4 separate regions of the Mus musculus genome follow, and regions 1, 3 and 4 are each reported to be linked to region 2. The links are microRNA targets in miRTarBase. Many come from high-throughput screens and were not tested one by one. Region 2 holds a microRNA gene; each other region holds the end of a gene's coding sequence. Distances are from middle to middle.

Region 1 (4,000 bases), 150 Mb from region 2:
AGCGGACCCCTCAAGGGGAGCAGAGCAGAAACATGTGGGCAGGCCTGCTATCCCCAGAACCTGGCCAGTCTGGGGACACTGAGGAAGTCAGGGGCACCCCCAAGCTCCCCGATCCCACCCTGGAGCGGCTCCTTGCCTCCCTCTTCTCCTGGCCCCACCTTCCCAAGCAGAGCAAGGCCTCCCGTCCAACTGGGGGAAGCTTTTCCTCAGAAGGGACAGGATCACAGACATCCCTGGAGGACTCACCCCACACAAGTCCTCCTGCGTCCCTCTAACTGGACCTGAACCACCACACCAGCTCTGGGGGGCTGTGACAGGATTGACAGAGGGATCTGCAGAGCCCATGCCACCTCATCAAACATGGCCATGGTGCAATGTTAGGACCGCCTTCTGGCTCCAGAAAGCTCCAAGACAATGGATTGTTACCCACACTGAACAGTGCGTGTGGGAATTAGAATCCAGACTCAATAAAAGGAGTTTTTTTTGTTTTTGTTTTTGTTTTTGTTTTATTGAGGGTTGAGACTGCAGAGTCTCATATGGCAAAGCTGGCCGGGGTTACCTTGTCAAGGAATTGTCCTTAGGCAGCCCAAACTGCCACTCACTTGGATAACAAAGTAGTGGGCAGGGCCTCTTGTCTTGAGCCCTAGATTAACAGACCCTAAAACAAGGACTTTGCATTTGGCAGTGACCCCAGGAGCCACCGGGAGGAGGATAGGCAGAGGGAGGGAATTTAAGAGCATTTGTCAGGCAAGTTCCATCCAGCTGAGGCCAATCAGGAGACAGCAAGGACAACAGCTGGACTCTTGAGACGCCCGTCTGAGGTGGAGCATCACAGCATGCATACTCCCAGGAGCTGACTCTGGTGGGCAAAGGGCAGCAACCTGGAGGGGAAGAAACTGATTGATGCAGAGTTCTCCCCAGGGACCAGGGTCCCCAGCTCAGACTCAAAGAACCACACCAAATCTTGTCCTTGCGATCCATCGACGCCCCAGGGAGTGTTACCTCATCTCCAATCCCACTTTCAGTGCCAGCTGTGCTGAATCATCAGGGGAAACGGTGGAGGGGGGGGGTAGTACAGTCTTTGAAAGCTGGTGAGGGTGGGTACAATGAACAAAGACTATTAGAGCTACAGCACCTAGCTTTTTACAGGGCTGCATAGCGCCCCCTAGCGCCACCTTTAAGCACTGACATGCTGGAACTATTCACAGGGCTCTAAATCCGGCTTCACTCCTGAGATGGCCTCCTGGCAGCCCCAGCTGACTTTCCAAGCCCTGAGAGAAGAGTAGGATAACTATTCTGCCACGAGTGAGGATGAGACAGGGACAGAGAAAGCCTGAACAATGCTTGGGAAGATGAGGTGCCTCAGGAGACATCTCAGCCCCAAACAGCTTCAAGAATCTTCTCTAAGACTGTGGATTTCTCTAAGCACAGCCTGAGGTCTGCCTGCTTCAGACCCACCAGTAAAACTGATTGTAAGGAAGGATGCCCAGGGACTGGCATCCCCTCTGTAGACACACTAAAACCAGGCTCTGAGCCTGGGGGAGGCTGGAGGCTGTACTGGGGCCACCTGCTCCGTGTTTTCTAGGTGGTTGCGGTCTAGTCTGCTGCTATCACAGATCGCCATGGGCTGTATGACTTACAAACAATGGAAGTTTTTTGGATTGACAGTTTTAGGGACTGGGAAGTCCAAGATTAAGGGGCTGCCTCTTGTGAGAACCACCTTCAGTGCAGGTGTCACCTGTAGATGGAGCTTATGTGAAGAGGGGGAAGGGCCAAACACATCCTTATGAGAAGCCCACTCCCACGTTAATCTTGAGGGAGGACAGCATGCACCCTTTTGACCTTTCCACCTCCATCTCTCAAGTTTCCAACACGTGAATTTCAGGGGACTCTGGAAACCTAGGGTGGTTCCCTCGGGAAGTTCTTGGGGCTCCAGACTCCAGGCAGCTCAGCTTAGCATTCCTCACCCAAGCCCTGCATCCAGAAGGCTGAGGATGCTCCAGGAATTTGATCAGCCATCTCCATCCAAGCCTGTCACCCCAGAGGGGGGCCTAAGGCTCTTAAGCCGTTGTTACCATAGCAACAGCATCCAGCCAGTGGAGACCACAGGCTTGGTGCAGGAAACCTGGGGAGAAAGAATGCAAACTGCCTTTAGCTAGACCCACAACCACTGCTGGGAATGAGGACAGGATGAGGGAGGGGGGAAGGATGGGTGAGCCTAGGATCGTTAGGTAGGAGGGGCCCCCAAGGTCTTGCACATTCTCCTGTTTCCAAAAAGGGTTGAACCTCAATTACTGACCTGCTCACAGCGGCTCCTCGGGAGAAGGGGCATAGACATAGAATATGGGGGAATGATATTCAAAAACAAAGGAGGGGCTGGGTAGATGGCTCAGTGGGTGAAGTGCTTGTGAAGTTCTTACTGTGCAAGCATCAGGTCGCCAGTGTGGCGTGGCAGTACATGCCTATCAGCCTGAGCAGTGGGATGGAGGAGACAGGCAGGGCCCCAGGCTCACTGGCCTGCCAGCCTAGCTGAATCAGTGAGCTCCAGGTTCCGTGAGAGACAGAGCAAGGTGGGGACGTCCACGTATGGCCTCCATGTGTACAGGCAATAGCTCTCAAGTGCACGTGCGTATACCCGCAAGAATTTAACAATAAAAAAAACGAGGAATCAGCTGGTGTCTCGGTTGCATCCAGCTTTGTGCTGAGATCCTTAAAAACTCTGCAAGTCTGCTCAGCTGACCGACTGCATCCCCACAGCCCTGTGGAGTCGGCATCAATTTCCTATCATTTTCCAGAGGAGGAAGCCAAGACTTCTTAGGGGCATAGGGATGTCTTCTCTGATGTGACAGCAAGTGACTGATGTGGACCTTACATGTGACACTGATCTGATTGCTGGGTGCCGGTGGCTGTGGGTTTGTCTCTTTTGTGTTCCTGTTGTCCTTGGCCATAAGCATGTGCTGGGAGTCCTGGTTCTCTGGGCTGTACTTACACCAGGACCTCTGGTGGAACAGGAGCAGACCTAGAGAATGGTTAACCATGAGGACCTGAGTTGAGTTGACTGCCCAGGCTGCATCAGTCACAGGCTGTGTGTCCTTAGCTAAATGAAGTACCTCTCTGTTTCTTGGTTTCCTTACTTGTAGATTGAAAATTGCAGGGCCTCAGAGGCTTGCTGGGAGTTGGCTTGTGGGAATTCCTCAGATAGACACTGGAACATAGTAACTGCTCACTAAATGGTAGCTAGATGCATAGCTTTGGCACCAGCCCCGCCAGCCCCTGTTATTGTTACCTGGAATATCCAGGAAGCACTCTCTTCAGAGCCCCAGCAAAATCCCCTACTGACTCCCCCAACTCTGTCTTTCCAAGTCATGTGGCTTCCTGTGTTTTCTGAATCCCCAGTAGGCTCTTGAAGACCACAGGGACTTAATTTATTGGCAAGGTGGAAACATGGCAAAGAGTTCCCATGCATGTGAAGTAGCCCCGTGGCCACAGCTTCAAATAGCAAAGCCTTGTCCCCAGAGGCTGCTCTGAGAGATGGAGGCTGTGGTGTTCCTCCATGGGACTTTAGGCAAAGGTTTATAGCCTGCTGTGGGGGAAGAAAAGTGGAGCTCATACAGACCCTTAAGTAGGCCAGCGATGTGACCAATTACCCCACTGTCTCGGGGCCCCTTTCCTGCCCGAGGAAACGGGAGGCTGGGGACAGCTGAAGGATCATAGCCTGAGATGTCAAAGCAACCCTGGGCAAATGGCTCCTTATCTCTGATAGCCAGACTCCCTTATTTATCAAATGGGTGCTCTGGATTGGATGGAAACCCTTTCCACCTTGGGAAACACAAAGCTGTGGCCTTGAACCCAGGCTCCCTAGCCTGGTGTTTTCAGTAGAAGGCTACTCTCCATATTCCCATCTATCAAATGGGTTGACAAGCCTGCTGGGTCAAGACACTGATATCTGGATCACCAAGCTCAGCACTAAGCCTTTCTGTGGTAGTAAAAAATTAATTGG
Region 2 (4,620 bases):
ATATACACAAAACTATACACACATGCACATATATGGGGGGAGGATGCCATGAGGCCAGGCTGATCCCTAGGTCATTTTGAAGTTATTCAGGAATTTGAACTGCTGATCCAAAAGGCAAGCGTTTTACCTGGTAAGTTAACTGAGACATAGCTCTGGCCATTCCTGTGAGTGAGTGTGTGTGCATGCGTGTATATGCATATTCATATAGAGAAGTGTATGTGCACAAAGCTATACACACATGCACATTCTTTATGGTCATCACATGAATAGCATGCTGATCTCTAACTCATCATGAAGTTAAACATGAATTTGAACTCTTGATCCACCTGACTCTGTGGTGTGAGACCTCTCCCTATTGAGTACTGCAGAATCTCTAAAACTCTAAGTCACATATCATTCAAATGGACTGAGGAGTGGCATGCGTGTGTGTGTCTGTGTCTGTGGATGGGTCTATGTGTGTGTAGGTATGTATATTCATATACACAATCCACACACAGTTACACACATATACACATACATGGGGACATCACATGATTCCCAGGCAGATCTCTAAGTCATCATGAAATAAAGCATGAATTTGAACTCCTGACCTCCTGATTCTAACAAGCATTTTTAACATGATGGGTGATAACTCTCCCTGACCTAGTCACACATAATCTCCAAAGCTCACAGTCACATAGATCAATGAGTGAGTGCCATTCCTGTGTGCCTGTGTGCTCATATGTGTCTTATGTGTGCGTGTATGTATATGGATATCATATTCACATATGTACATGTACACACACATAAACACATATACACATACATAGGGGCAATCACATGAATGCCAGGATGACCTCTAACTCATCATGCCTTTACCATGAACTTGCACTCCTGATCTTCCCGACTCTACCAAGGGTTTTCCCGTGGTTTGTGAGACCTCACCCTGGCCCAGTCATACATAACCTCCAAAGCAGTAGGTCACATATCATTCAAATGGATCCGTGAGGGCCATTCCCGCATGTCTGTGTGCATGTGTGTGTAGGTGTGTGTATGTATATGCATAAAATATACACGCATATACATGCGCGCACTTATGCACACAGGCACATACATAGGGGCCATCACATTATTCCAGGATGATCTCTAACTGCTCATGAAGTTAAGCATGAAATTGAACTCCTGATCCTCCTGACAATGCCAATTGTTTACACCTTGTGAGTGAGACCATTCACTGTCCTTCTACTGCATAATCAGTAACATTCTAAGACATATATCATTCAAATGGATCGATGAATGCCATACCTTGGTGTGTGTGTGCTTGCTTTTATACGTGTGTGTGTGTGTGTGTGTGTTATGTATAATCATATACACACATGTACATGCACACAAAATTATGTGTGCATGTACATACCTAGGGTCCATCACACGAATCCAGGATGATCACTAACTGATCATTAAGTTAAGCATGATTCTGAACTCCAAGACTTCTGATTCTGGCAAGCGGTTTTCATCTAGTTGGCGAGATATTTCACTGTACCATAAATATACACTCTATGAAATTCTAAGCACATATAAAACTTATGGATGACTGCCATGTGTTTCTGTATGCATGCATGTGTGAATATGTGTCAATATATGTCTTTTCATATATCCGCATGTACAGACAAACTTATCTATACACATACACAGAAACAATCACATGAATAACAGGCTGATCTGTAACTCATCAGGAAGTTAAACATGAATTTGAACTCTGGGACCTCCTGACGCTGGCAAGAGCATCCACCTCCTAACTGAGACATAGCTCTGGCCCAGCACTGCATAAGCTCTAAAGCTCTGAGTCACATACCATTCCAAAGGATATATGAGTGCCATTCCTGTGTCTGCATGTGTGTATATGCATATTCACATAGAGAAGTGAATATGCACACAACTACACACACATGCACATTTTGGTGTGCATCAATGAAACACATGCTGATCTCTAATGCATCATGAAGTTAAACATAAACTTGAACACCATATTCTCCTGACTCTAGCAAGATTATTCACCTCCTACCTAAGAAATAACTCTGGCCATTCCTATGAATGTGTGTGCATGTGTGCATATGCATATTCATATAGAGAAATGAATATGCACACAACTATACACACATGCACATTCTTGGTGGGCATCACATGAATCCCGTGCTGATTTCCAACTCATCATGAAATTCAGCACAAATTTGAACTCCTGATCCACCTGACTCTGGCAAGGGATTTCACCTGCTGAGTGAGACCTCTCCCTATTCAGTACTGAGGAATCTTAAAACTCTAAGTCACATATCATTCAAATGGACTGAGGAGTGGCATTCATATGTGTGTCTGTGTATGGGTCTACGTGTGTGTAGGTATGTATATTCATGTACACAAATCCACACACAGTTACACACATATACACATACATGGGGGCATCACATGATTCCCAGGCAGATCTCTAAGTCATCATGAAATAAAGCATGAATTTGACCTCCTGACCTCCTGATTTAAACAAGCATTTTTAATATGATGGGTGATAACTCTCCCTGATCTAGTCATACATAATCTCCAAAGCTCACAGTCACATAGATCGATGAGTGAGTGCCATTCCTGTGTGTCTGTGTGCTCATATGTGTCTTATGTGTGCGTGTATGTATATATCATCATATTCACACATGTACATGTACACACACATAAACACATATACACATACATAGGGGCAATCACATGAATGCCAGGATGACCTCTAACTCATCATGCCTTTACCATGAACTTGCACTCCTGATCTTCCCGACTCTACCAAGGGTTTTCCCGTGGTTTGTGAGACCTCACTCTGGCCCAGTCATACATAACCTCCAAAGCAGTAGGTCACATATCATTCAAATGGATCCGTGAGGGCCATTCCCGCATGTCTGTGTGCATGTGTATATAGGTGTGTGTATGTATATGCATAAAATATACACACATATACATGCTCACACTTATGCACACAGGCACATACATAGGGACCATCACATTGCACCACTCTTTCATGAAGTTAAGCATGAAATTAAACACCTGATCCTCTTGACACTGTCAATTTTTTACACCTGTTGAGTGAGACCATTCAGTGTCCTTCTACTTCATAATCAATAAAATTCAATGACATATATCATTCAAATTGATCAATGAGAGTCATACTTATGTGTGTGAGTATTCAAGTCTGTATGTGTGCATGCATGTGTATGTATATGTATAATTATATGCATACATGTACATTCACACAAAGTTACACACACATGCACATACCTAGGGTCCATCACATAAATCCAGTACGATTTCTAACTCATCATGAAGTTAAACATGAATTTGAACTCCAGATCCTCCTGACTCTGGCAAATGGTTTGCATCTGATTAATGAGATGTTTCCTGTCCCATGAATATGCACTCTATAAAACTCTAAGCACATATAAATCAAATGGATGATTGCCATGTGTATTTGTGTACACATGTATGTGTCCATATATGTGTATATATATGCATATACATATACCCACATGTACAAGCACACTTACCTATAGACATATACACGTACACAGAGGCAAAAACATAAATTACAGCCTTATCTATAACTCATCATGAAGTTAAACATTAATTTGAACTTCATATCCTCCTGACTCTGGCAAGAGTATTCACCTCCTAACTGAGGCATAGCTCTGGACCAGTACTGCATAAGCTCTAAATCTCTGAGTCACATAACATTCAAAAAAATATATGAGTGACATTCGTGTATGTGCATGAGTATATATGCATATTCATGTATAAAAGTGAATATGCACACAACTATACTCACATGCACATATTTGGAGGACATCACACGAATCGCATGCTGATCTCTAACTCAATGTGAGTTAAACATGAATTTGAACTCGTCATCCTCCTGACTCTGGCAAGAGTGCTCACCTCCTAACTGAGACATAGCTCTGGCCATTCCTATGAATGTGTGTGCATGCGTGTATATGCATATTCATATACAGAAGTGAATATGCACACAACTATACACACTTGCACATTTTTGGTGGGCATAAGATGAATCCCATGCTAATCATGAACTCATCATGAAATTCAGCACGAATTTGAACTCCTGATCCAACTGACACTGTCAAGGGATTTCACCTGCTGAGTGAGACCTCTCCCCATTCAGTACTGAGGAATCTTAAAACTCTAAATCACATATCATTCAAATGGATCGATGAGTTGCACTGATGTTTGTGTGTGTGTTTCTGTTTGTGTCTGTGTACATGTATATATTTGTGTAGATAGGTACATCCATATACTCAAATCCACACACAATAGAAACAGATACAGATAGAGATACATAGGGGGCATCACATGAATCCCAGGCATATCTCTAAGTCATCATGAAGTAAAGCATGAATTAGAACTCCTGATCCACAATCTTTCACACCTGGTGAGTAAAACCATTCACTGTCCCACTACTGCATAATCTTGAAAACTTTAAGTCACACATCATTCAAACGTATAAATGAATGCAATTTTTTCCTGTGTGTGTGTGTGCTTGCATATACACGTGTGTTTATGTTATATATAGCATGTCAACAGAGATAATGCACATACAAG
Region 3 (4,000 bases), not on the chromosome of region 2:
GAGCTCATAGTTCTCAAAGTTCAAGGCATAGCTGAAGCGGCCGTGTGCTTCAGCCTCTGACGAAAATGACTCATCATAGCTGGGACGGGGAGAGAAGCAAGTGGTCAGAGCTTTAACACATCAGAAACAGAAGTAAGGATGATGGCATACACACAACAATCACTTCTGAGGGCATCAATGCTTATGATCTAAAGACATGCACTGGACCCTGCTCCCCACAGCCTCGGCCGTCTCCCAGGAATTCGACCCTGTGAACCAAGCTTTCATTCACAGCTGTTTGAGGTACAGTCAGCCAGCATGCAAACCCGGCATTTCTGCCTTCACATACAATGTTATTTAAAATATAAAATGGTCCTCGATGACAAAGTTGTACAAGTCCGTTTGCTTTCATATTTTATGACGTATACACAGTATTTACTTCAAGAGAGTCCCTTACGGAGTAAATAGGCAGGAAATGCCTTTGATAATGCTCATTATATCCAATCAGATTCTTACTCCAAGAACAGATAACTGCAATGATTTTTATGGAAATTTTAATCAGCAAATTGAAAAAAAAATAAGTTTGTAACCATATTTTACATAGAAATATTCAACTTTCCCAATATTTTCACAAACAGTGGTACAAAAGTTGACTCTAAATGCATCCAATGCGTTTTTAAGAGCTAAACGGACATGCACTAGGTTGCCCCCGTTCTCAGTGATGCTGGGAAGGAAGCCTAGGATCTTGCACAAGCTCAGTAAGAGTTTTACCGCTGAACCGCAGCCCTTTACCTTGGTTGCCTCCTTATCAACAATCTTCATGGGAAGATTCAGAGGGAATCAGTTCACAGAGTTCTTCAGTGTTTCTCAAGCTCAGCCCTACCCAATGTGTCTACATCATATGTTCAGCTTATTTCATGAAACAAACCACATGACGTGTGCTTTCCATAAGTAAGATGAAGTTCAGAGATCTTAGTAGTCATGTATTTCATAACATCCTAATGTGGGGCCATATTAGAAACCACGTAAAGGAGCTGAGCTGGCCAAAGACTGGTCTAAATAATTACCCACGACTTGTGAAAATGTGTTCACATTTCAGACTCCTCTGAAAGTGTGTGGTCATTATCCAGAGTGCTAATGGTACTTTCCTGAACCTAATTCCATACATGGCACCAGCAATCTCATTGGGGACACTTAAATGTCTCCACATGTCACCAGAGAAACACAATGACCCATGCTGGTAACTACTGGTCTCAAGAGAAAAAAAGAGAGCATGCAAACAATCCACTTACTGATAACATGACTCTGTGATGTTTTACACCTGACCTATAAAGTTTTCACCTCTCTGTAGGATGAATAGGACTGAATCATGTCTTTCTTTAAGGTTTATAGTCTTTCCTGTTGATTCTCAAATGTATTTTTACTCCTGTGGCACATATTTTTTAGGGAAGGGTTTTGTTTTTGTTTTTGTTTTGTTTTGTTTTTTTTACTTCATGATAGTAAAGATTCTTCTTAGTTCAAAAAAAACCTAGCAAATAATATTTGCCTCAAATCACTTGAGTTAATGAAATCCTGGTCTGTCAAAACTCAGGTCTTTCACACTACTTTTTTGAGGTGGGCAGCCTCATTCTTATATCAGCATTAAATGAAATTAAGGGCAAAGTCAAAGGCATACTTGTCAGCAGCAAGACACTGACAGACAACCTGTACAATTGTTTTCTTCCATTAAGGTTTTTGTGTTTTAATAAAACTAAGAAAAGATTATTTACTTTACATTGTAATATGCTGACATATCCCTCATATTTATATTAGTCCCATGTTTTAAAAGTTAAAAATAAATACTTTTTAAGTAATAGCAACATCTTTTGACTTTAAGAATTCTATCTGGCATTCCTGTGCATTTGTAAAAATAAGACAGTGGTATTTCCAAATCTCACAAGGATATACTTTGTCTTACAGGAAGTTGACAAACTCGTTTGGAATACCACTTCTCATGAAGAACACGTTGAGTAACCTTTGTGCAGTCAGATCAAAGAAAAAGTTAATCAAATAACCTGATTCTCATTGCCAAAACTGAAGCATCATGTGTATGTGTGTGTGTGTGTATGTATATGTATATTTTTTTTCAGAATCATCTAATAAATAACTATACTTCAAATCATAGTTATATAAGATTACATATATAAAATTACATAACCATGCTCATTAGAGTACTGCAAGATAATCACAAAACTTGATTTTTGTTTACAAATATAGTAATCAATAAATAGATCTATATACATAAGAAATACATGAATACATAGTTGATTCAAATGGCATATAAATCTCTTTGTTTCAGATAAATGCTAATATTTTTGATATTTTAGTTTTTATTATCAGTTAAGAGCCTTTAAAAGTAAATAGTATAGCCTTCAAATATAATAGACCAAAAATATGTATAAAATTATGAATTATTTTTAAAATATCAGTATTTCTTTTCTTAAAATATTGAAAACTTTTTAAAAATTTAAGCAATATCTAATGTGGGTATCATAGAAAAATAAGTTATTGATGAAACTCTGTAACACAAGTTTTAGCTATGAATGTAGCCAAATAAATGGCTAAGAACTTTGAAATTACTGCTTGAAATCTTAGAAAATAGAAAAAAAGCATGCATTTAATAACCTGAAACATGTGAAAAAATAAAGAAGTATTTCCCTATGAAGTTCTTTAACTATATGAATTAGTAATTCAACTTAACAGCATTAAAAGCAATTGTGCGACTCCATGGGACTTCACCGTTTTCAAATATTTAATGTTCTTGGGTTACCCAATACACAAGAAGCATGTGTTAGCACAGGATGGGATCTGGGGACTGAAGGAAAGAGGTGACATAGTTTATATTGGATGTCTCAAGACATATCTAAACCCAGGGCAAAAAGCAAGAAGCTGGAACAGTTAAGTCCAGGTAACATGCTCTACAAAAGCAAGGTTATTAGAACAGAAGTTGGGAATAAAGATTAAAAATTATAGTCGATAGTTGATAGTCTACAGTCAATGGTCTATAATCTATAGTCAATAGTCTATGAAAAGCACTGTACTTGGCAATTGTCAGGAATCTCAGCAGAGGAAAAACAGGCACAAGAATGCATTAAAGATGAACTTGATCGTTGGGTACCTAGTGTATCCTAGGCAGGATGCTGCTATTTACCCATTCAGAGGCAGACTCAGAGGCAAGGTTATAGCATGGGCTGATCCAGAAGTAAAGTCCACAGAAGTGCTCTACTCCTCCTCCTGTCCCTGCTGCCTAGAAACAGGATATTCAGGGGGAGGAAAGAAATCTCTTTCCAAGATTTATTATTCTAGTAAAGTTCCCAGAATATACATATACTAGCACCAAAGGCATGTAAAATGTTTTCAGTAATGCCCAAACGTAAGAATATGCCTTTGATTATCAAGAACCATGTGTGTATGTCTGTATTTGCCTTTCACACATGTATGTAGTTATAAACATCCACAACCAGAGCTCGTGTTGAAACTCCTAACTCCAGGATAGCATCAATCAACCAGTGTATAAAGTGAGCCAAATCGGGATTTGGCTTTAATAAAATATATCTTCCAAAAACAATCATGATAGGAAAAAACTGATCTGATCCAACTATCCTAAAACATGTTTAAAGAAAAGCAAAACAAAAACAAAACAGACATTATACAATGTCATCTAGCCCTGGAGATGCTTCACAAGCGAGTCCCATTGATCTTGCCACTGTGATCTGTGAAGTTCAGCTCAACATGGTTGAAGGCAGGGTTATCAGTTCCACCAACTTCCACAGGATGCAATTTATAGTTTAAAACATGATTCCTCTGAAAGATAAAGGGTAACATGGAAATTTTTTTTAAAAATCATTATTTGTTCAATGACAGATAACTGATACCAACTTTTTATTTCTCTAAATCAGCTTGGTAATCCACTAAGGGAGAGTGAAATGCAAACATACACAAGGCAGCAGAAGCTAGCGTGGTATACGATATGCATTTGAGC
Region 4 (4,000 bases), not on the chromosome of region 2:
TTAACTGTAAGTAGGAATATATTTTTATCAAATTAATAATTAATTTTGAAAGTAAAATTCTTCAGTCAAACTTGAAGTTATGCTTATTTATAAGAATCCAGCAGTTACACATGGACACATCAGCACCTTCTATAATGTACAAAATAATTAGCTCTGATAAATAATCAAAATTTACTCACACTTTATAATGTTTTAAAATTTTAAATAGAAAGCTCATGGAGATTCTCTGAGCTAAATTTCAGTGTATCTTCTTAAAATGGATGGATACATTTATTATTTAAATGTGGTTTTAAATATTCTTAATAAAGGAGAGAAGAAATCTGCACAAAAGTTAAGTAGCATGATACATGTTATATGGGTTTTTCCCTCAGGAAAAATTATTTGGCTGTCGTTACAGAGGACTGAGACGGGTTCTGTTTTCTACACTCCCATCATTTCGTCTCTTGTCCTACTCAAGACAAACATCAGGAAACACATGTTCACTCCCTTAAAGTCTCCCTACCTTCTCTCCACCCCTAAAAGCTTTAAATTCTATTTCATTGACGTGTGTGTGTGTGTGTGTGTGTGTGTGTGTGTGTGTGTGTGTGTGTGTATGACAGAGAGAGATACACAGAGAGACAGAGACAGAGAAAAGGAGGAAGGAGACCATGAGTGTGCTTGTCAGAGGACAACGAGTCCGTGCTCTGACCCCACATCCATCCCAGGGGTCAGACTTCTCCATCCCAGAGGTCAGGCCTTTCAGCACTTAGAATTGCAAGGACTATATTACATTTATTCTAAAAACGAAAGCTATTCCGTTTTGGTAGCATTCCAAAGAAAAAGTGTCATTTGAAATTAAATTCATAGCTTTTACATAATTTCATATTTTCAAAGGTCCCATGTATGTATATTAGCAATAATTTTATATTACAGGCTTCCTATCATATGCATAACAATGTACTTTAATCATCTAACTTTTAGAAATATTTCATTGTATTTCCACATTTAATTGCCTTACAGTAAAGTTCAAGAAGTAAGCAAGTATTAAAAACACATTGCTATTTTTCACTAGTTCATGACAGTACCGGTATGTAAGTATGTATGTATGTATGTATGTATGTATGTATGTATGTGCTATACAGTGTCTCACTGCATATGTATGTATGTATGCATGTATGTACTTAGTGTCTCGCTTTGTACTTATGTATGTATGTGTGTATGTATGTATGTAAGCATGTATGTATGTACTTAGAAAGTGTCTCGCGGTGATGGCCTGGAACTCACAGTGTGGACCAGGCTCATCTCTAACTCACAGAGAACAGCCTGCATCTGCCTCCTGAGTGCTGAGACTAAAGGCATGAGCCACCACACCCAGCTTGTTGGTATTTACTGTTAAAAGTCATGAATGTACTGAATTCCTACAAAAATTGATTATGATTAATATAATGAAGATGAGGTGTTCAATATTACATTTGGCCAAGAAGACAACATCAAAGAGTAGTGGGCTATTTTCCAGGCCAGCAGTACAAGGATAGGAAAACAGACAATGGTGGGAAAGATAGGTTCCACAAAAATAAGAGTCCTTTTATTTCTGATGGTTGGATTCAAGTCAGTAGGTAACTTTAGAGGTGATACAATTTTAGGAAGAATACACACAATTACATCTTGTCTAGAACTTTTACTGTAATAAAAAAGGAACAAATGGAGAAAATGTAATATACCCTAATGTTTGAACAAAATGCAGTTTACACAAGGAAGACCAGCACTGACAAATTTTGTTAATTATGTGTCCAGGGACACATAATCATATAGATTTATAATTAACCACTTGTCCTAATATCCTTTGTGCTTAAAAACAGTTTCCTAATGAACAGCAGTAAAGGGAGGGGCTTCTCAGGAGGAGAAAGGACATGGCCACCTTATGGAAAATTTTAAAGAGCTACAGGATCTTAATAGTTCATCCACACTGTTAGGAGCCTTCTCCCTGCTCGGTCTGCACTGCATGGGGAGGCTTTGTGCTACTATGGGTTTCCAGGCAACTATGGACTACCCACAAGTAATAATAAAATTATGACTGAGATACTTTTAGATATCCTTTGATGCACACGACATACTCCAAAGACTGCCAATGACTCTACCAGAAAGGAACCATCAAGGCTGGCGTCGAGAATGTAGTACATGGAGATGGATCGGGGGTTGTGTATACTGATGTTTATAAAGCCGTGGGTCCTGACGAATGACTCCCTAGGATGGCTGCTCACTGTGTGACCTCAGGAAAATTTAATTCTTCTGTCCTTCAGTTTTCCATATGGGAAATGAAGATAACTATTTCATGGGTTTGTTGTAAGTATTAATTGGGCAAGTGTTTACAACCATTCCATACTCCCTCAGTGGATGTCGATAAAATCCACACAGGAAGGGTGGTGACTGGCCAAAGTAACATATAGACTGACGTGTGACAATTACTTTCATTGTAACTAAGGACAGGCCCACAATACCGTATTCAGAGTACCTGCTTGGGAGGTCAAGTGTTGCTAGATCCTTCCCGATTGACATAAACAGGAAGATGGAAGGGTTCTGTAATGTGATAGAGACTAAAGCTCTCGTGAGTTATGCATTGGTATGTTGTATCTCCAGTGCACATTCAATACAATTTTTCATTTGTCTTTAATTTGTGCTCACATACTCACAGTGCTGTGTATAATGGATGACATCCTTCCTGTCCCATTTTTATGAGAGCATAAGATTGCTCCTGCATACCCTAGATGCTAATGTGATGTGCCCCTTCTCAATAATATATGATTATGCATTTCTGCTCCTTAAATTGAATAGTAATTAAAATCTTTAGCCTTGGGGAAAGAGCATGTCCACTGAGTAATGTTAAAAGCTTCTAATTCTGCTGTTTTGCCAAGTGTTCTAAACATTATATCTCATCTGTATTATTAAGTACAAATATTTGTGCCCAACTATGCAATATGGTTAAAAGAACAACAGTGTTACAGTTGCACAAAGGAAATTTCTAGATTGTAACAATAGATGTGGACTACAAAATTGCATGTTGGAAAAATATGACATTTATAAAAATTAACTTGAAGAGAATCCAATCTCTCCTTCTGCTGAAAACTTACTGCAGGTTTCAGACTGCAGGACTGCCAATCAACAGCCCGCTGACAGGGACCAAGGCGAGGGCCTAAAGTAATGGCATGGATGGAAGTGTGTGTGGCTTCTGCGAGCACCTCTTGTCATCACATCACTGTGACCCTCTCTGGGGACAGATGAGGAACCGCTCCTCCCATGCCTTCGTCTAGAAACTGGCTCTTTTCCCAGCCCTTTTTAATTCGTTTTAGCTTTCGGCTTATGCATGGGAGGAGTAATATCATCTTACCCAGAATTACAATGGAGGGCAAAACGAGGGCAAGAACGAAGTTTGGTGGTGTGTAAAAGCGGTAGTACTCTTCTGCAAACGCACGCTTCCATCCGTAAATTAACACGTGGAAGGTCGTGATGAGCAGGGCGACGTAGCCAAGCGTAGACTTGAGATGGGAGAGGAAGAGAGAAGAGGTCCATTACTCACCCACATAACAACCTCTGCAGATACCCTGTTGATTTTTCAATCTTCAGTGAACTACTGTCTTCTGAATTGGGCAATTTAAGGCAGTTGCATAAATTCCTATACACTTATTTGCAGTACAGCAATCTTGCACAAATCAGATCATGTTGAATAAACTGAATAATCTCATTAACTAATTCATTATATCACAAGGTTTTCTGTGCCCTATCAAAACACATCATGAATTTTGTGTGGTTTTATTTGAATGGTTACAGTTTAACCCTTCCTTTGTGTTGATCATTCTGATCTTAACTTTCTTCAACTATAAATAATACCACTGTAGCCCTCGTATATTCTGACTTCTATCCTTGGACTGATTCTACTACTAGGATTAGTGATCAGCGCATCTAGCTTTTCTCTAATGGTAAAGATATGCCTGGTGTCCATGTTTTATCAAGGTTTGTACAGAAG

What was found. The annotated mature microRNA mmu-miR-466p-5p reads UAUGUGUGUGUACAUGUACAU and lies in region 2 at 2,676-2,696, opposite strand. An mRNA with a match to its seed (bases 2 to 7 or 8) in the 3' UTR can be bound and repressed. Matches are read on the target gene's strand: a 7mer-m8 pairs with bases 2 to 8, a 7mer-A1 pairs with bases 2 to 7 and ends in A, and an 8mer does both.
Region 1: the mRNA of D630003M21Rik is a reported target of mmu-miR-466p-5p. The part of its 3' UTR that is shown has no 7-base or 8-base seed match.
Region 3: miRTarBase lists Slc5a8 as a target of mmu-miR-466p-5p. Seed matches in the 3' UTR shown: 7mer-m8 at 3,422-3,428 and 8mer at 2,068-2,075.
Region 4: the mRNA of Steap2 is a reported target of mmu-miR-466p-5p. Seed matches in the 3' UTR shown: 7mer-A1 at 1,763-1,769 and 8mer at 1,189-1,196.

The regions. Positions count from the first base shown.
Region 1 is chr2:158,192,236-158,196,235 of GRCm38, reverse strand. D630003M21Rik (RIKEN cDNA D630003M21 gene) reads left to right here. Exons shown (of 14, transcript NM_177657.5): 14 at 1-488. The coding sequence ends at 275. 1700060C20Rik (RIKEN cDNA 1700060C20 gene) reads right to left here. Exons shown (of 3, transcript NR_036606.2): 2 at 1,968-2,125; 3 at 499-881. Among named protein-coding and RNA genes, the nearest start is that of 1700060C20Rik, 2.2 kb to the right of the region's middle.
Region 2 is chr2:10,504,096-10,508,715 of GRCm38, reverse strand. It overlaps Mir466p (microRNA 466p), which reads right to left and starts at 2,710; the gene lies at 2,622-2,710. The region is part of intron 10 of Sfmbt2 (Scm-like with four mbt domains 2); the gene reads right to left. Mir467e (microRNA 467e) reads right to left here and starts at 2,995; the gene lies at 2,909-2,995. Mir467d (microRNA 467d) reads right to left here and starts at 1,086; the gene lies at 1,002-1,086. It also overlaps Mir466.
Region 3 is chr10:88,926,032-88,930,031 of GRCm38, reverse strand. It overlaps Slc5a8 (solute carrier family 5 (iodide transporter), member 8), which reads right to left. Exons shown (of 15, transcript NM_145423.2): 15 at 517-3,822. The coding sequence ends at 3,697. Among named protein-coding and RNA genes, the nearest start is that of Slc5a8, 42 kb to the right of the region's middle.
Region 4 is chr5:5,670,185-5,674,184 of GRCm38, forward strand. Steap2 (six transmembrane epithelial antigen of prostate 2) reads right to left here. Exons shown (of 6, transcript NM_001103156.2): 6 at 1-3,512. The coding sequence ends at 3,225. All of the region lies in intron 1 of Gm40262 (a long non-coding RNA gene), which reads left to right. Among named protein-coding and RNA genes, the nearest start is that of Gm40262, 7.8 kb to the left of the region's middle.